Caenorhabditis elegans: one gene and its partners. Each later gene encodes a partner of the first gene's protein in a complex. Each region holds a gene or a part of one and is shown on either strand. Other genes may lie near its edges.

The links.
Region 2: cif-1 (region 1) and eif-3.B share a complex: the UniProt entries of both Caenorhabditis elegans proteins name them as parts of the eukaryotic translation initiation factor 3 (eIF-3) complex.
Region 3: cif-1 (region 1) and eif-3.H share a complex: the UniProt entries of both Caenorhabditis elegans proteins name them as parts of the eukaryotic translation initiation factor 3 (eIF-3) complex.
Region 4: cif-1 (region 1) and csn-5 share a complex: the UniProt entries of both Caenorhabditis elegans proteins name them as parts of the CSN complex.

The regions. Positions count from the first base shown.
Region 1 is NC_003282.8:4,706,314-4,712,298, reverse strand, and holds cif-1 (COP9/Signalosome and eIF3 complex-shared subunit 1), read left to right. Parts: upstream 1-1,543; 5' UTR 1,544-1,819; intron 1,820-1,905; coding exon 1,906-2,017; intron 2,018-2,516; coding exon 2,517-2,977; intron 2,978-3,711; coding exon 3,712-4,041; intron 4,042-4,971; coding exon 4,972-5,157; intron 5,158-5,209; coding exon 5,210-5,293; 3' UTR 5,294-5,445; downstream 5,446-5,985. Other genes in the region: yars-2 (Tyrosine--tRNA ligase), read left to right, coding at 1-7, 59-231, 280-416, 466-1,134, 1,185-1,391. UniProt on the Caenorhabditis elegans protein: Component of the eukaryotic translation initiation factor 3 (eIF-3) complex, which is involved in protein synthesis of a specialized repertoire of mRNAs and, together with other initiation factors, stimulates binding of mRNA and methionyl-tRNAi to the 40S ribosome.
Region 2 is NC_003280.10:14,793,595-14,798,752, reverse strand, and holds eif-3.B (Eukaryotic translation initiation factor 3 subunit B), read right to left. Parts: upstream 3,350-5,158; 5' UTR 3,325-3,349; coding exon 3,243-3,324; intron 3,174-3,242; coding exon 2,980-3,173; intron 2,935-2,979; coding exon 2,602-2,934; intron 2,549-2,601; coding exon 1,841-2,548; intron 1,771-1,840; coding exon 910-1,770; 3' UTR 518-909; downstream 1-517. Other genes in the region: tbc-20 (Rab-GAP TBC domain-containing protein), read right to left, coding at 11-116, 166-267. UniProt on the Caenorhabditis elegans protein: RNA-binding component of the eukaryotic translation initiation factor 3 (eIF-3) complex, which is involved in protein synthesis of a specialized repertoire of mRNAs and, together with other initiation factors, stimulates binding of mRNA and methionyl-tRNAi to the 40S ribosome.
Region 3 is NC_003279.8:4,442,835-4,447,133, reverse strand, and holds eif-3.H (Eukaryotic translation initiation factor 3 subunit H), read right to left. Parts: upstream 2,416-4,299; 5' UTR 2,405-2,415; coding exon 2,288-2,404; intron 2,243-2,287; coding exon 2,120-2,242; intron 2,074-2,119; coding exon 1,878-2,073; intron 1,831-1,877; coding exon 1,731-1,830; intron 1,682-1,730; coding exon 1,387-1,681; intron 1,145-1,386; coding exon 878-1,144; 3' UTR 521-877; downstream 1-520. Other genes in the region: cps-6 (Endonuclease G, mitochondrial), read left to right, coding at 121-472; C41D11.3 (Cysteine/serine-rich nuclear protein N-terminal domain-containing protein), read left to right, coding at 2,792-2,848, 2,978-3,067, 3,117-3,590, 4,283-4,299. UniProt on the Caenorhabditis elegans protein: Component of the eukaryotic translation initiation factor 3 (eIF-3) complex, which is involved in protein synthesis of a specialized repertoire of mRNAs and, together with other initiation factors, stimulates binding of mRNA and methionyl-tRNAi to the 40S ribosome.
Region 4 is NC_003282.8:5,647,861-5,651,632, reverse strand, and holds csn-5 (COP9 signalosome complex subunit 5), read right to left. Parts: upstream 2,101-3,772; 5' UTR 2,098-2,100; coding exon 2,032-2,097; intron 1,982-2,031; coding exon 1,728-1,981; intron 1,680-1,727; coding exon 1,297-1,679; intron 1,051-1,296; coding exon 647-1,050; 3' UTR 554-646; downstream 1-553. UniProt on the Caenorhabditis elegans protein: Probable protease subunit of the COP9 signalosome complex (CSN), a complex involved in various cellular and developmental processes.

The DNA of each region.
Region 1 (5,985 bases):
ATTTGAGGTTGAACTTGTGAATGTTACGAAATTCCGCAAATAATCCATTTAATTTCAGGCAGCTTCCACCTTATGTGTATGCTGGTTTCGATCCAACTGCTGAGAGCCTTCACATTGGAAATCTTCTGATTCTCGTCAATTTAATTCGTGCACAGCAGTTTGGAATACGTCCAATTGCATTGATCGGAGAATTCACTGCCAGTATTGGAGATCCGAGCGGAAAGAAATCAGGTTTTTACCTAGAAAAGCGCTGAAAACTCAATAAATCATGACCTTCAGAACGGGGTCTTCTGGCCGGCGATGTAATTATGCACAACTCGAGGAAAGTAACAGATCAGATCTGCAAGATTTTTGAGAACGCGCCGGGATCAAGCGAGAAGCCGATCATCGTGAACAATAATGATTGGCTAGGAAAGGTAGTCATTCGGCTTGCTATGATGAGAAAGAAAATGTTATATTTTTCAGATTAGTCTACGAGATTTCCTGAGAGAATGCAAGAATATGCAAGTCGGAAAGATGCTTCGAATGAATACGATAAAGAATCGGCTGGAAGTTGGATTATCGTACACTGAATTCAGCTATCAAACAATGCAAGCATTCGACTGGTACACGTTATCCGAAAAGTATGGATGTCGATTCCAGCTTGGTGGATATGATCAATTGGGTCACCTGGACTTTGGAGCTCACTATATTAAGAAAATGATGAATCAAGCCTTCGCTGCAGGAGTATGCTTCCCGATTCTGACGGATTCTACTGGTGCCAAGCTCGGAAAGTCTGAAGGAGGAGGTGCGCTGTGGCTTGATGCGACGAAGACGTCTCCGTTCCATTTCTATCAGTTCTTCGCGCAGCTTCACGATGACAAAGCGGAAGAGCTTCTGTTACTTTTCAGTTTGCAAGATATCGAACATATAAGAGATGTTCTGAAGAATCATAGGAGCAATCTTGGACAATGGATTGCTCAGAGGGAGTTGGCCGCCGAAATTACTCGAATTGTGCACGGAAAAGAAGGTTTAGAAGTGGCGATGCGGTGTACAAAAGCAATGTTTGGAGCCAAGAAGGCTGATTTATCGGGATTGTCGAGAAGTGAAGTATTGCAATTATTCAGAACAACAATTGACTTGAAAAAGGAGAATGTAAGCATCAAAAAATTAGTTGTCGAAGATTTTATTCTTTTTCTTCCCAGGTAGCAACAATGGGCCAACTCGCGGACGCATCTCGACTAGGCAGTGGGAAAGGTCATCTTTTGATGCAACAAGGAGCATTTTCAGTGAATGGAGAGAAGAAAAGATCTCCATCGGAATCAATAGCAGACGTTTTCCTGGAAAATGCCTCCGATCTCACCCTTGTTTGTTGGGGAAAACGAGGTTACCAGCTGGTTCGATGGGTTTGAATAGGTTCAGTTTTAGTTGTTATAATGAAAATAAATATTCATTTTTTTGTTGTATTTGTGGTGTCATATTCTCGGCGTTCTCTACGCTTTATTATATCTCTTTTTCTCGTTTCCAAGCATATTTTTTGTATTTTATTCCTGAATAATTTTCGGCTCGTCTCTATTCGCATGAGCGGAGGAGTAGTGCACAGCAAACTTCAAAAGCTCGTTCTCTCCACCTACCGTGATTTTTTGCGCGCCTCCCGTGGCCGTGACCCGAGCATTCGCACGCATATTCGGCACGAGTTCCGCGCCGCTGCAACACGTTTCGAGCCAAGTGACCTGTTGCTCATTGAGCATCATTTGAGAAGAAGCCAGAGACAGCTGGAAGCGATTCGGAAAGGACACATTGAGAAGATCGCAACGGTTGATAGCGCCGCGAAATAAAGGTGAATGAGTTGAAGTTTGATGTGCATTTCTCCTTTTTGCTCGTTCACAGTTCCATATTTTCTAAACTGCATGTACAATATTTCAGATGGCTGACACTCGTGAGCTTCCAGTTTTCGCCTACATTGATGATGTCAAGCAGCTCCAAGAGCTCCGTCAATACCTCAACAAGCACGATAGTGTGAAGCTTGATCCAAATGGTGCGGAAAACTTGTAAAGCTGATTTTTTCGATATAATAATTATGGATTAATCCAATCTTTTTGGATCTTTATCATTTTCAGGTCGATCGACTCTTTTTCAACATTTCTGTATCAATTTCTTTCTCAAAAAATTGAATATATCATGTGGAAACGGCAATTCTACAAAATTTTCCTATCGCACCATGTTGTTCCCACTTTTTTTAAAATTTAAATTGTTCTAAAAATATATAAAATCAATTGATTTGGCCTTAAATAGTATTTATTTTAGTTTAAGCATTTGAAAATTGCTTACAAATTGCCATTTCTCAACTAAAATCAACGATATTTTCAGATAAACAAAGTGATTTTCTATGTTTTCACATTATTTTTAATGAAAAATGTTAGAACAACATGATGCAATAGATCATTTTGTAGAATTTCTCCCATGGAAATACGTAAACTTTCAGAAAAGATTTGCGGTACAGCCCTGCTTCAGAATTTGGATTTAAAAAATTTCAGGACCATCAGAGACCGCCCAAAACATGATCGAAATCTGCTCCACTCTCAACGTGCTTCCTTCATGGTCCCAGGACGTCGATCTGGTGCTCAACTCGATATCATCTCTTATCGTCGTTGTGCCAGGCGAGAAGTGTGAGCCAGTCGTCGACTCATTCATCAAGAATGTTGCTCCACAATTCTACAAGGGAACCGGATGGGCTAGTCACGCCGGAATCGCCGTTCGTGTGCTCTCGAATTTGTACAAGGGATACTCGAACTTCCATACTGTACAGGAGAAGATCTTCAAGGCGCTCGTTGATATGTGCGCTGAAGCAAGACTCATTGGAGAGCTGGAATGCAATCTTGAGACTCTTCAAGATAGATTCAACACATGGAAGACGCCAGTCGAGGGACAACGCGAGATCTTGAGAGCAGTTCATCGTGCACTTCTTGTTGATCAGAGAGTTGATCAGGCTGCCAAGGTGGGTTTGATAAAGAACTATCGGTTTTTATACTTAGCTAGACACAAAAACTGCCTTTAAAAAAATTATGGCGGTTAAATATTGCTTAATTTCTGCTAAAGTCTTCAATTTTGCAAACTGTCCCGTCTCGCGGCTTGAACACAGTTTTTATTGAATCTTGGTCTCTTATCTCACACTGTTTTGTTGTTTGCGGTACATTTGAGGGTGATGTCACCAAAATGTTCAAAATTTGGCCAAAAACCCCAAAAGTGGACAAAAATGCCAAAATTTCGCCAAAGAATGAACAAAATTCGATCAAAATTGAACCAAAATGGCCAAATTCCACTAAAAATTGAGCTAAAATGACTAAATTGAACGAAAAGCGCGAAAAGTAAACCAAAAATGACAAAATTTCTACTGAAAATGGCCTGTAAAGTTGGCCAAAAAGTGGACCGACTTTTGTCTAAAACAACAAAGATTGGACCAAAATTGAACCTTTTCTTCATAATTTGAAGTTTCCATAATTTAACAAAAAATTACCGAAAACCACCGAAATAAGTTTATTTCTGACCGTTGGGACACGAGAAGTTGGCAAATCAGAGATTTTAGCTGAAATTAGCGAAATTTTTCGAGAGAGATTTAAATCGCCGTAGAAATTTGAGAAATTTTTCAAATCACGAAATTTTTTTTTGAGTCAATACAAGCTAAAACGCCAAAATCATAAGTCCTCATAACCTTTAAAAAAGTGTTTCCAGGTTATGACTGCACTTCTCGGAACATACACAGAAAAGGACGCTGCCGCAGCACGAGATGATGCTATGGAATGTGTTAGAACTGCTGTCGTCGATCCGAAATCATTCTCCTTTGATCATCTCGAACGACTCAGTGCAGTCAAAGCGTTGAAGACTTCCGATCCACTGATGTTCACAGCTCTCGAGTTGTTCATCTCTGGAACTCTCAAGGATTATAAGGAATTTGTTGCCAAGAATCCGAAATTTGTCACCGAGCACTTGAAGGTTGACGAGACTATTCTTCTCAAGAAGATCCGTCTTTTGACACTCATGTCGCTTGCTGAAGAGAAGAACGTACGTTTGGATATTACTGGGTCTCGCCACGCTCACAACGAGTTACTGTAACTCGTTTCGAAAATCTTGGCAGCAATTTTATTGAAATTTATGATTCAAGGGAAAAGTTTTAGTGTCAAAATAACACATTTTTATCGTTTTTCGACTGCAAAATTACAGATTTTAAGACTAAATAACGGCTTTGGCGAATGATATTACATAGACGATTAAAGAGGAGAAAATGGGTCTCGCCACGCTCACAACGAGTTACTGTAGCTCGAATTACGAACTGCTTATATGTTTTTTTTTTATTTTCGCAGAAATTTTTCATTTACCTTCCAATCAAAATTCAAGAGCACTTCTAAGCTGAAAACCTGAAATGTAAAGCTAAAAATTATAAATTGCAAACTTTTCGGATGAGAAACATCCATTAATGTGGATTTCCAGGTTAAAAACATGCAATTTTCGTAAAAATTTTAGTGTAAAAATACAAAAAACCAAAATTTCACACTTTTTTACTGCAAATTTGCAGATTCTAAGACTAAAAAACGACTTTTTCCGAATGAAAACCCGGCCAAAAATGAGGATTTTTAGGTTAAAAACCTGTCATAATCTCTTAAAATTACAATAACTCGTCTCTAGGAAATCTCCCGAAAAACCTATAATTTTGTGGAAAATGTTGAATATTCCATTTCTGTAAAGAGCGAAATCTCGAATTTTAACAATTTTTCAGTTAGAGAAAGCTCAAAATTATTTGAACACCTTTGAATGCGAAAATGTTGAATTTTCGTTGAAAAATTGGATTTTTAGCGCGCCGAGACCCATATTGCAAAAATGTGAAGTTACGATACAGTAACTCGTTGTTTGCGTGGCGAGACCCATATGGAAACGTCGGTTGGCTATATAACATTTGAAACGTCCGAATTAAATAAAAATTGCTGAATTTTTCAGGAAATCAGTCTCGACGAATTGGCCAAACAATTGGACATTCTTGCCGATGAGACCCTCGAAGAATTTGTGATCGACGCGATTCAGGTGAACGCGATTTCCGGAAAAATCAATGAAATGGCCCGAACTCTCATCGTCAGCTCCTACCAGCACAGAAGATTCGGAACGGAACAATGGGTTCTACTCGAGGTATATAATATTTACTCGTTGGGTTTCCATTTAAAAATTGATTTTTTTCCAGAAACGCCTGAAAGTCCTCATCGCAAATCTGAAGCAAACGCACAACAACGTCCATGAAGTGAATCAGAGAATCGAGGCTCTCTAATTGTTTTTTTTTCGCTGTTCTTTTTAATATATTTGTTTTTGGTTCTCCCTATCGTATTTTCTTCCCATGAAAGTCCCCCGTTTTGTTGGTTCCCTCCTCTATAATTTCTATCTCTCTCTTGAAAAATTTCCCCATAAACTGTTGATTTAAAAAAAGAAAATGTTCCCCACTCTTCTGACTTAATATGGATTTTGTTCACTTCGAAACCCGATTATTTCTATTTATCCGTCGCTTTATCTTGTTTTTTTGTTATGCGATAAGCACACGGGCGTCTCACTTTACACTGATGCTCGTGGAGCCGGAGGGACAAGAGATTAGTCTCTTCCGCTTCGATGATAATCAGATGTTTGTCACTTGACGGACGAAGCCAATCTTTGTTCTTAATTTTCAGAGTTCGGAGAAACTAGCCTTTTTTTGAAGAAAAGTCCAAAAATTCTGCTAATGAAAACGGGAATTTTAGTTAATTTTCCTTTTTCTCAAATTCTTTTTGAAATTAAATTTAAAAAATTCGAGTCATATTTAAAAAAAAACCATGCCTTCTCTATTTTGCACATTTTAGAAGTTACTGCCGCATTTTTTTTCCAGATTTTGGTACATTTTCAGTCGATAGGTGCACAAAAATTGGAAATTCGTGCGCCTATAGACTGTAATTGTACCAAAATATGCGAAAAAAATGATCTACAAAATTATTT
Region 2 (5,158 bases), on another chromosome or scaffold:
TAAAAATTACCAATATATAAGCTGAGATCCTCTTTTCGGTGCTTTTTCAAAAATCGATCAATTGCTTCGCGTTTATTTCGCAACGCGTTGAATTTTGCTCTCGCCAGGGGTCCCGGCTGAAAAATTGATTTTTTTTCGTTAAATTTTCTCATTAAAAACCCCTACTTTTACATATTCTTCGCCCAAATCGCTGCATGAGGCTGTCTGCCACTTATCTACGAGCACCTCTTTCAACGGCGAATTTGGCTCCGAAAACGATGAGTGCATGAACGGGTTAATTGCTAAAATTGAAGTTTAAAGTTTTTTATAGAAATTTTATTTTAAAAAAGTATAAAAAGAACAGAGTAAAATAGAGAAAGTGGATTAAAAATTGACAGAAAACCCGATGAGACATTTGTCGTCAAATTTAATGCAAAGTGTGCATACACCGTCACGTCACATTGCACCATTTGTGGAATTTTTAATAAACGTGGAATTTTTTTTTCAGAATCACAATTTTATAGCGCTGAAAAATATAATTTATGAATTTTCACTTCTGTTTATTTGGAAAAAATCTGAAACATCAACTAATTCATCAACATTTTATCGGCAAAAACCACCAGAAAACACGGAGAGACGGGAGCAACAAGAGATATTAAAGTGGATAGAGAGAAACAATTAAATAATATTAGGGCCGCCCAAAAGAAGCTTGAAAAAACCTTCTCCATTCAGGCATCATAAAGTTAAATTTGCCATAGAAAAAGGCGTTGTTCAGAAAATGACGACATGACTGGGAAAATGAAGAGGAAAACGAAAACGAGTACATGGTGGAACCACCAAAAAGAGGGGACGCCGCTCCAAGTCTTCGAGAAATCAGGAAGAAAAAGCAGCGCATAAAAAAGGGGAAAAACCGGGAAATCAAATAACTAATTAGTCTCTCATCTCCTCCTCCGTCAGAGGGGCTTGTGTTTTGCTTGTGCTCAGCGCAATGGTAATCTCCTCATCCACAAATTCGTCCTCGTCGAGTTGGGCTTCTGTGTCCACGCCGTTTCGAAGAGAGATTCTCTCGTCACGGGTGGCGTCGAGTTGCTCGCGATTCCGGCTTCGAATAATATCGAAGGCAGCCATGATCTTGCGTCGCTTCTCAACAACCTCCTGACTGGCTCTGCACTTTTCGTCGTCATCCTGCTTGATGAACTTGGCGGCGGTCTTCTTCAAGTTCTTCTTGATCTCACGCTGCTTCTGTTCGCTCAACTTCACCGGCGGCCGTGGTCTCCACTTGAATTGGGCGAGCCGGTCGAGATTCTTTCTGCACAGTTCTCTTCCCTGGAATGTGAAGATTCGGTAACCCAAATCGGCTCCGGCTCTTCCTCCCAACGTTGAGCATGTCACAAAGTATCTTCCAGTTGGATCCCAATATCCCTTATTGAAGAGTGGATGTTCTATAACATTAGTTCTCTTGGCCTCCGACAAAGAAGTATCAATGAAATAGACGTTTCCTCCAGCTGACACCTTGGCGAGAACTGCAAGCCATCCTCCTTTCGGCGCGAATTGAACCTCATTGAAGTGAACTCCAGCGTCCAACTTGCTCACAAGCTTCGGTGCGTGGCTGTTAGCCTCGATCTTGTAGACTTGTGGAGTGGCCTTAGCGGTGTTTCCCACGAGCACACAGAACTTATCGCCTTCTGGATCCCAATCGAAATGGATGAATGGCTCCGAAAGTGGGAGATTCATAAGGGAAACGTCCTTCTTGTCAATCTCGAAGATGTCCACGTGGTATTGGCATCCTCCCTGAAATTATATCATTATTATTATTATTGTCATAGGCCTCAAAAAATCCTTTAAAAAACTCAAAACTTACCACATATTTGACTTCTCCGGTCTCTCTGTACTCCTTCTTCTTGAATCTCATCGTGTAGAAGGCCAATCGCTTTCCGCTCTTCTGCCAGAACATCTGAGCGTCGGCGACATTGTGAACGCGAGCCGAACGAAGTCTCTGCATTGATGGAACTTGCAAGAGTCCAAACTCGGCTGGAACGGCGTCAGTGCACTCTGAATAGTAGGCGAGGACTGTGGATGTTGGCGACCACTCGAATTGCTTGATATTCTCGATATTCACGGGACGGCCTTCATAGAGCTCGAACTTCTCGGATTCGAAGATCGAAATTCCGTTGATCTTCTGCTCACGCTCAAGCTTATCCTTTTCTGGAGCCTTGAGGCACGCGAAGTACTTCTCATCGAATGACCATCTGAAGAATGGCCAGGTTGGGAGCTGAGTTCTTCCGGTGAGCTCGAAAGTGGAAAAGGCCTTCTTCAATTCTCCGGTTCGGACGTCCCAAATTCTCAAACTATCCTTCTCACAGTCTCCCCAGCTGTTCGACTCTTCCGGAGCGGCGTAGGTAACAAGGTAGGTCTCACACGGCGAGAAATCAATGTATTGAACGTTGGTATGAGCGAAACGGTGGGCACGAGCGTAGTCTTTGCCTCCCCAAAGTATGATTCCTTGCTTATGGATCGTGGAAAGGTAGGAGCCGTGTGGTGACCAAGTGAAGACGGTTTCGGTCCAGTTCTGGAAAAAAAAATTATTTCATTTTTTAAAAACAAATAATTCTCAAAACTTACAGCTCTTTCAGCCTTATCGGCATCTCCTGCAAGCTCTGGATCATTTCCCTTCATATTGGTGAACACTCCGACAGTTGGAACTCCAAGTTTATCGTGGGAAATTGCGAACTGATCACGGCAACGCTCGTTTTGAAGCCACCACCAGAGATCTCCAACGTCATTATAAGCCTGCTTCTCTGGAGTTGTCCAGTGATCGGAAGGAGCTTCGAGTTGCTTCATATCCTTGAAAGAACGGGCGGTGAATGTGTGATTCTTATCGAAAGCATATCCATTCAAACTTTTCACGGCGAACTGAGCGGATCGTTGATCGGCCCACTCGGTGAGCAGAACTCCCTGGAAAAAATATATTAAAATCGATATCGTTTGCGTGAATCTCACCAAGCAACCTCCTTCTGGACTTGGCGGAATGTAGAGCTTCACTGCAGGATCCAACCTCTCCAGAACCTTCTTCAGTACACTTTGGAGTTTTCCAAGACGGTCAGCTCCAACAACTGGGATTCCCGCGATGAAGACGCAATTGTCTTCAAATTCATCGATAGTTGGTTTCTTGTGGAGAACGTCAGGAACGAGAACTGAAATAAAAACATTGATTGTTGGCTATTTTTTGGAATTGATTTCAAAAAATTGAATAAAAAACCAACCATCATCGGTGACGTCGTCAACAAATCCTGGCGGATCCGAAAAATCTTCTTCGTTCTCTTTATTAAAGTCAATTTCGACCATTCTGTGTAACCCAACTAGTCTGAAACTTTAGACACGGTTTATTGAGTAAATTGTGAGATATTTTAAAGGAAAATGGAAGGAAAAACGAGATAAGTTGAATTTTTACAGAATTTTCTCCGAAAATTGTGGAAAAATGTTGGAAAACGCTGGAAAATCTGAAAAATAGGACCGATATTTGGAATATGAACAAACTCTAAACAACACCCATGCGGGAGAACGGAGCGTCGTTGCAAGCGCTCGACCGAAGAGAATCCTAGGCCGCGTCCATGAGATTTGCGCGGAATTTCAAATAGAGATAATTTTGAAACTCAAACGCGAATCAATGCATTTATAAATATTTAATGAAAGAAAAATGGGTGTACGCAAACACCAGACTTTACGAAGAAATGCGGACATTTGCCCTTTTTTCCGGAGAACGCGGCAGCGAGTACATTTTAAATATATTTATCGATCAGTTGTTTAAGTAAATAGCACAATCGATACCGAGCTCCAGTCGATGCCCGCTCAACAATCAAAGAGCAAGCAACAATCCAAGGGGGTAGTCCTCACAACAATGCTGCTGACCGTTTACTGTACAAATCACGCAATTTTTACTATAACATGATGATTAGTATACATTATTCTCAATGGATTCGTCCTTGCAGATGATTTGCTATGAGTGTTTCAGTAAAAAGTTGTTGAATCAAAGAAGTTTTGGATTTTAAGAAAGAACTTGAAAACTTAAAATAATTCTGATAGTCTTAGGTCGTTTCATATTCTGGGTTAGATGAGTTTTGTCGACTGTGCAACAGAAAGGTTTGGGCTTTACATTGGAAAAAGTGAGTGTATTGCATCGGAAGACTATGTCTGGATACGGAGTTGTGTTTTTGTTAGTTTTACTGTAACATGATGATTAGTTTACATTATTCTCTTTGGATTCGTCCTTGCAGAGTATGGACTATGAGTGTTTCAGTAAAAAGTTGTTGAATCAAAGAAGTTTTGGATTTTAAGAAAGAACTTGAAAACTTAAAATATCTCTGACAGGGTTAGGTCGTTTCATATTCTGAGTTAGATGAGTTTTGTCGACTGTGCAACAGAAAGGTTTGGGCTTTACATTGGAAAAAGTGAGAGTATTGCCGGTACAAAATCTGCCAGCTTCGACGGAAGGGATAGCTTGTATAAAACGAAAAGTTAAAGGCAAAACCACAAATGATTTTTAGCAGTTCTTTTTTATTCTTCTGCGGATCGTCTTGCTTTTTCATGATTGATGATTCTTGGTTCTCCATGATTAGTACGGTAACACAGCAGCATTTTGTCAAGCTATGTTTTTGCGATGAGCGGCCCTGTTTGATGACCTAGCGGCACTCAATTGCGCGCTCAATCGAATGACTGGTTATTTAAAATCGAAAATAGAGGTGGGGTAGGCGATTTTTTTTGGAATTTTTTTAGTCTGCTACTTGATACATATAGACACTTTCGTATCTATAGAAATTTGATGTTCTTCAAATGCCACACCTCTAATCGATTTTTATTTGGCTAGCACAATCGATACCGAGCTCCAGTCGATGCCCGCTCAACAATCAAAGAGCAAGCAACAATCCAAGGGGGTAGTCCTCACAACAATGCTGCTGACCTTTTACTGTACAAATCACGCAATTTTTACTATAACATGATGATTAGTATACATTATTCTCAATGGATTCGTCCTTGCAGATGATTTGCTATGAGCGTTTTAGTAGAAAGTTGTTGAATCAAAGAAGTTTTGGAATTTAAGAAAGAACTTGGAAACTTAAAATATCTTTCATAGTCTTGGGCCGTTTCATATTTTGAGTTACATTAGTTTTATCAACTGTAC
Region 3 (4,299 bases), on another chromosome or scaffold:
TTGAAACTTTTGGAAAATTTTTTTGAGAAAAAAAAACGAAAAATCTACAGCCCAGTCTGAAACCAGCTGGTACCAAGATTTTTCTTTACAATACTAAAAATAATTTTCTACAATTTCCAGAAGAGTCGCAAAAAAGATGATCAACTCCTACATAATCACCGGTCCCCTCTACCTTCCAAAACTTGAAGGAGATGGAAAAAAGTATATCAAGTATCAAGTTATCGGTGATAATAACGTTGCAGTGCCAACTCATTTCTTCAAAGTTGCTCTTTTCGAAGTGACACCCGGCAAATTCGAGCTGGAATCCTATATTTTGCCAAACGCAGTCATCGAGGATACTGTAGAAATTTCCAAGTTCCATGTTCCATTGGATGCTGTGGAGAGAAGTGCGGGTCTTGAGATTTTCGCTCGTTTGGACCCTAAGAGCATTGTGAAAGAGAACGGAGCAAAGAAGGGAGGATTACTTTGGTGATTGATTGGATTGTGATTCCGGTGAATTTTAGGTTTAGGTTGTTTTGTTTTTGTTTCACAAATAAATTTTTTGTTAACTTTTTTGATTTACTGATTGAAAAAACTTGAAAACTCAATTAAAAAGAACAATACCAATAGAAATTTTAAAATCTTAACTTACTATTAGTCAACAACAAAAATTCATCCGAAATAGGGGAAGGTGGAAAAGGATACCAGAAAGGAATTTCATACGGCAAAAAAATTTGGATGAAAAACAATATCCCTATATTGAAAGTGAGACATTATTTTATGTCACTAGTTTTATGTAATATGAAATTCCTTTCACCGAGAGAAAAATATTTTAGAAAAGAAAAAGTAAATTAAAGGGAACAGGGAGGAAACAAAAACACGAGTATATTTGGGAATCTTAACGAGTCGATGAGACAGAGCTCAAAGTTCTGTCTTTTGTTCCGGCGACTTTCTCCTCAGCAACAGCTTCAGCGATGAACATTTTCGTGATATTTTCGCTGGTCACAGTCTTCGAGAAGTCAGCGAGAGCGTTGGTGTCAAAACTGGCGAGAAGCTCATCCAAAAGTCCATTTCTTGTTTGGAGTTGTGGAGCCTTGATTCTCTTGATGTCATCCATTGGAATTGTTGGATCACCACGGGCCACACGTGATTCGTTCTCCTGTTGCTGAAATTGGAAAAATATAAATTTTTAATGATAGAGATTTTTTTTTCGAAAATCGTGAATGGCACCTTTATTCCACCGAAAATGTACCCCTCACATCCGGTTTTATAGTTAGTGGAGCCTCGATATGTTGGAAAATGGTTTTCAAAAAACAAGACTTTAGGTTTGAAAGCCGTTACACTTCGGAATATAAATTTTAGCGATACAATCAGGATATTTTTAATTTCAAAATTCGAAATTCTTACTCTTTTCTGCGTCAGACTGAACACCATATTATCATGTCTTTGCTTGTCAATAGTGTACTTCGTCAACGACTGAATTGACTTGTTCAGCTCATCAACATTAGCCATCATAGCTCGGACCGACTTTTCAAGCGACTTCTTGGATCCCAAATCGAAGTGTCTCGTGGAGTACTTGTCAGAAGAGCATGATTTAGCGAGTGAAAGCTCAGACATGAGAACATTGTTGAGATATGAGGATTTGATGATGATTGGCAACTCCTCGAACATGTTCTGGTATGTCAAACCAGCGGCTTTCACCCTGAAAAGATATGTCTTTGCAAATATATTTTTAAACTCAAAAACCATACAATTCTGGTCTCCAGTCATTCTTTGAAGCGAGATCAAGAGCAGCGGTGGAAAGACGCCAGGCTCTTAGAGAAAGCTGTCCTTGGCGAGTCTTGATTGGATCTGAAAGCAATTAGAATTAATTATTTATCCTCATTAATCTGTCTAACCATAAATAAGAACAACATTTTCTGGGCCCATAGCCTGGTAATCGAACATAGATTCTACGAGATCGTGTGAGAAACCGGCTCCGAATTGATGAGACTGATAGAATCCAACGATTTCGTAATCGATATTCATTGTACGGAATTTGCGGAGCATGTCAAGCATCTCGTGTTGCTTTTGCTCTTCGTATTGTTGAGCGGCCTATAATAGAAAATATATTGGAATCACTAGCATGAGCTAATTTTACATTAGCATCGTCATCCATAACTGGCTCGTTGCGAACTGTTGGGAAGCAATTGGTGATTTCCAAGCGAGAATCTTCAAGGAAAACAAGACCGGTGAGAACTCCGGCACAAGCGTCTCCAGATACCTGTAAATTACATGTTAAGCTTGAAATTAAATTAAAATAATATACCTCACTAATTCCTGCATGAAGTTCACTGTCCACGTGCTTCACAATTTTCATAACCACAAGCGAATCCAAAAGGATATGCTTGACGCTCGGAGCGGTAATTGTCACTGCTGTCGACATTTTTGATAACCCTGAAAGATGAGCATTTAGTTTTTCAAATTTTCTAAAGAACAATAAACAATAACATGCATCTCACAAGAGGAAAAATCAATAATCTAAGCATCACGAATTTTTCGAAAGAAAATTAAAAATATAAATTTCAGAAAATTGGCGAGAAAAACCTCAAAATAATCAATAAAATCTTGAAAATAGGAAACACTCCACGAAATTAATTCCTTCCGTTGTTGTGTGCAACTGCGCGTCAATTGTAGTGCATGCACACAATTGCACACCGTACCCGCGCGTGATCTTTTGATTTGAATTCAAATTTTTGTCGTTCTTTTGTTTTTGGGATTTACTTTTTAAAATGCTTTTTGAAACTTTTTAAGAGAAATTGTATATTTTCAGATGCAATCGAGTGCATCCAACGACCCTAATAAACCTACAAATAATGAAATAATAAAGGTAAGCGCATTTATGAAAAAAAAATCAATAAAACACAATTCTTAAATAAACTAGCTTTATTGGAATCCATTTGAAGATTTAATATTATAACCAAATGCATATTAAAAAATAATTGTAAATTTGTTTCAGACACCATTGGTTCCACCAAGTCCACGTGGAGGATTAAAACGAATGGCGGGAATGAGCCAATTGAAATCGACTTTTTCAATTTCTTTGGAGGTAAAACCCTCAAGTTTCCAGCATTTTTGTTTAATAATATTCATAATAGTCTCAGAGAACAATCCCACCACCATCATCGTCCTCATCCTTCCTATCCCATTCAACATCGATGGTTTCTGTAGCAGCGAGTCTCAAAAGAGCCGGTGTACCTAGTCTAACTCGAACAAAGACTAGTGCATTACCCATAAAAATGGAGAAAAAGCCAATGGTTCCATTGCGGATAGAACAGGACCACCAGACACCGATCCGAAAACTGGCTCCGGAGAGTATTCCAAGCCTGGAAGATCAAGTAACACCGCCAATGCGTCGATCTAGTAGTGGATCAATGCTGTTGAGACAGACGCCTGAAAGGATTCGAAGGCAAGAAGAAGATGTGGAAACACCTGGTTCTCCAGTTAAAAGATACCGAAGATCCGGGTCAATGCCACGATTAGAGGCCCAGTCCCTTGATGTTCCAATACGAATGGAAATTGGAAATAGCTTAACTCCTGTGTTAAAGAGGAAGAGAACATCTTCATTAACGGTAATATATTCAACTGAATCATATCAGAGCTGGGCGGCAAATTTTTTTTCGAAAAATTCGGCGAATTTCCGAAAATTTGATTTTTCGGCAAATGCCGATTCGCCGGAAATTTCAATTCCGGCAATCTGAAATGTTTTCCCGTTTTTCTAGATATTTTCATAGAATTTCCTTACTTTTCAAAATAGAAGTAGGAACATATTTTTTTATATTACGGGAACACAAAATACTGAGAACGCGTATTACACAACATATTTGACCCGCAAAATATCTCGTAGCGAAAACTACAGTAATTCATCAAATTACTCCTGTAGCGCTTGTGTCGATTTACGGGCTTGATTTTGGAAATATCTATCGATGAATAAATAATTTTAATTCATTTCGAGAATCGAGCCCTTAAATCGACCTACAGTAGTCATTTAGATAATTACTGTAGTTTTCGCTACGAGATATTTTGCGCGTCAAATATGTTGTGAAATACGCATCATCAGAATTTTGTGTTCCCGTAATAGGAGGCGTACAATTTCGCGTCTTTAACTTGAAATTCTGAAGTTTCCAATAAAAAGTGCAACAGCACAGTTTGCCGAAATGCCGGAAATTTCAATTCCGGCGATTTGCCGATTTGCCGGAAAAAATCGTTTGCCGCCCAATCATATAAAACTAGTTTCTGAAAATAACAAAAAATATTATTTCAGTGTCTCTTTTCATCCGA
Region 4 (3,772 bases), 940 kb from region 1:
TCCTCCCTTCGGATTCTTTGATTTCCCAGTGAAATACCTCACCCACTTCAATCCCCACAAAGTGAGCAACCCCTATCTTGCAACAGTTTTATCATCTCTTCATCATACCCAGTTTGATAATTTATTATCTGATCCCCATCCCCTTGTCGCCTCTCATTAGTATCCTAGTTTTTCATTTGAGCCCGGAGCTCAGACTACATCTCCGAATCATCATACAAATAGATAGAAACGGGTCTCGTGACGAAAGAATACGTGCACCACACGACCCCCCCATCCTGTTCACCCCCATACACCTGAAAAATATGATCTTTACAGTTATTTCTATTATATCCTCAAATCTCTCGTAATATCGTATCAATTTCCTCTTCTTTTTTGTCATTTTCAATTTTTCTCAAATTTCTCAGATCTATTCTTTTTCTTGTATTTTTGGAACTTGTATCCCTCCTCCATCCCCAGACTTCCCCTTCCCAGTTACTCTTGTACATTTTCATATATGTCCATATATCGTTTGAATCTCTCATTTATGGAAATAAATTTGAAAAAATCAATCATTGAAAAGCAAAAATTTCATTCAAATAAAATGATGTTGGTGAATTTAACACAGAAAACAGGGGGACTTGATTTATAAATATAGACAAAACGAGAATTAAGCATCGGCCATCTCAACAGCGGGCTCCGGAGCAGATGGAGAAGGACCAGCCTTCTCGGGTTCAGTTGCCACGGCGATATCCATTGGAGATCCTGCAGAAGCATGGGAACATCCACAGCCACCACCAGCTTGGCGAGCAAACAATAGTTGTTTCACGAGATGAGAGATTCTTCCAGTTTCAAGTTCATCTCCGACTGCCTTTGCATCGGTCACGACTTTCATCAAAGCTTCATGTCCATCGACACTTCTGTCATTCAATTGGAGCTTCTTATCGACGGCCGACAGCTTCTGATTGATGTCTTGAATTTGATTGTTGAGGAATTCGACGTTTGAGAAGAGTGGAGAACTGCTGAGAGTGGAAATCCAATAGCTGTTCCACAGAGAAGTCAAGATGTGAGCGTCTGGAATTTTAATTATTAAAACGGGAAAGAATCGGAGATGTTTCTTTTTCAATTGAGACCAATTTCCCGTTGAGATGTTTAATATTATTATTCTTATTTTAAAAGTTTAAAATTTCAAGCTATTCGATTCCAATAAGTTTAAACAATCCAAAAAACAAAGCTTTGAATATTGGATTTTACAGTTGATTGTCCTTTATCGTATTTTTATTATGTAATTCATTCCCGATAAATATAAATTTCACCTACCAAGTTGTGATTTGAAGAAGCTGACGTCAAGCGAGTAGTATCGTTTGCAATGTACACCGAAATCCTCAATCTTTGCGAGAGGAATCGACTGATACTCTGATGGAACATCATCTGGTGGACGGTATCCTTCTGGATATGTACGGAATGCGCCAATGTCAACCTTTCCGGCAGACATAGTTCTCAATGGATCAATAACAATAGCAACCCATGGCTCTTGGAACTTTTGATTGAGTGTCTGCGTTGAGACGTCGATTCCGGATAGCCAGCATCCATATCCAGGATGAGAATGATACCATCCGACGACTTTCTCCTTTCGACCTTCCGTATCGCACATTTCAGAATAAACTGTCATGTACTCGTAGGCTTGAGCTTGGGCATTGACTCTGGAAATTTAAAATGTTCGAAATTACTCCCAGCGTAAATCATTTCACCTGGTCTCAGTACCCTCAACTGGAAGAGCGAATACATCAAGAATAATGAAAGAATTAGCATCGATTCGACCTTGCAAAAGTCCCATAATTTCCAGATTTCCACCTCTTTTCGCGTGCATTGTCATTTTCAGAAGAGCAATTGCAGATATTTTGATTTGTTTGAAATAATGTGGATCTTTATCCCATGGTTTTGCATTTCTGATTTCTACTTGCTGCTTGTTGTTGTACTCGAAAATCGAATCGACATTTTGGACCTGAAACACAAATAATATTAAAAATCTAAAAATATTTAAGAAAAACTGACGTTATTTTCTTTTTCCCAGTTTCTCTGCGGAACTGAGCTGGATGGCTTGACGTTATCAACTTCCATCGTCTGAAAAAAGCATTACCTTGCTAATATTATTAAGAAATACAATCAATAAGACGATAAGGGCATGAAAAATGATAATGAGATGATTTTACATGAAGAATTGAAACAAATTAAGTAATTCTCAGATTATAATTTTTTTAAATCGATTGAAACCAACAAAAACTAAAAAAAATCTGAAATTTGAAATGAGAAAATATCTGTTGTTATTCTAACAACGACACTCCAACTTTCCGTTGGTGCGCGTTGTTTACCGTAAACCGACACCAAGCGGATGTACTACAATTGGAAGACTTGATTTCATAGAAGAACAAATAAATAGGAGAAATGTATTAAAAATGATTATGGCGGAATAAGATATTTAAGTTTTAAATGTCCTAAAGACTGGTTATCCAGCTTGTTGCATTGTGGATCCCTTTTAGAGAAGTTGGCATTCCAGTTCAAAGGTTTTTGCTCAATTCCAGAAACATATCATCAATCTGGTGTAGTCTAGAATGTATACTACAAAATACTGAACCTCATCAATGACCCTTAAATCTTCCAGAAGAATATTCATGAATACTTGCTACTGCAAGCAAAAAGTTTTATAAAAGCCACAAGCTGAGCAAGAAAACATTTCGCAGAAAAAATGTTATCCGCAATTTTCCTGATTATCAACTCGTTGGTGACTGTTTCAGGATATTGTGTTAATTTATTCCTCCTCCACGTGGCAATATTTCATAGTCCGTCTATTATAAGAACATTCTCAATTGTCATTATTAACATGGCATTCACTAATTTTGGAGCATGTCTTAGTGGATTTCTGATTGGACAACGAGTTATTCCAGCTGGGAAACAATTATTTTATATTTCCTATGGAATTTGCTCAAATTTAGGAGAACAGTTTTGTTTTGATATGTGAGTTTGACGTGGAAAAAAAAATGAATGTCAATGGAAAAATGTTCCCGTTTCAAGAAGTTTTTGAAACAGAAGAAATTTGAAAAACAATTATATGTAGGTAGATCAAATTGTTACTGCCCTATTTTTATATTTATCTTAACATTATTTAAACGAGGTTTGGACGGGTTTAGTAAGATGAAAAATTTTTTAAATGGGAGAGGGCTAAATTTAAAAAAAATTAAGTCTTGAACTATAGAAAAACAATAAAAATGGATCATTGTCAAAAGGAATTTTTAAAAATCCTTTAAATCGATGAAAAAAATTAAAATCTAAACATACACTTAAGAAATGTATAGAGTGTTTAAAAATTTCAGTCAGAGTTTCGGCAAATTGCCAAATTTTTTTTGCGAAACTTTTCCCTTTTTGAGAAATTTCATGGATCTCTGCAGGTTTGAAATTTTAGAATTTATAAAATTAATTAATAATTTCGAAAACTCAAAGAAAAATTTATTTTTGGTAAACATCCAAAATTACGATTGCTGAAGCCTAGGACATCAATTAAAAATTAGTTCCAAAAAGTTTTTGAAAAATTTAACTAAAAGCAGTTTGAAATATTTTTCCATTATAGTATATATTTTTCCACATATTTTAGCAAATTAAATCCATCGAAATTAATAAAAAAAAGGTTTCCCCAACAAAGATAGTTTAAAAAAACAGTCTCCACCCACTTATAGGCTCTCTTATGCGCCTGAATCAAACTTTTTTCTTGCATAGGTTTCAATGACAGAATACTCCAATT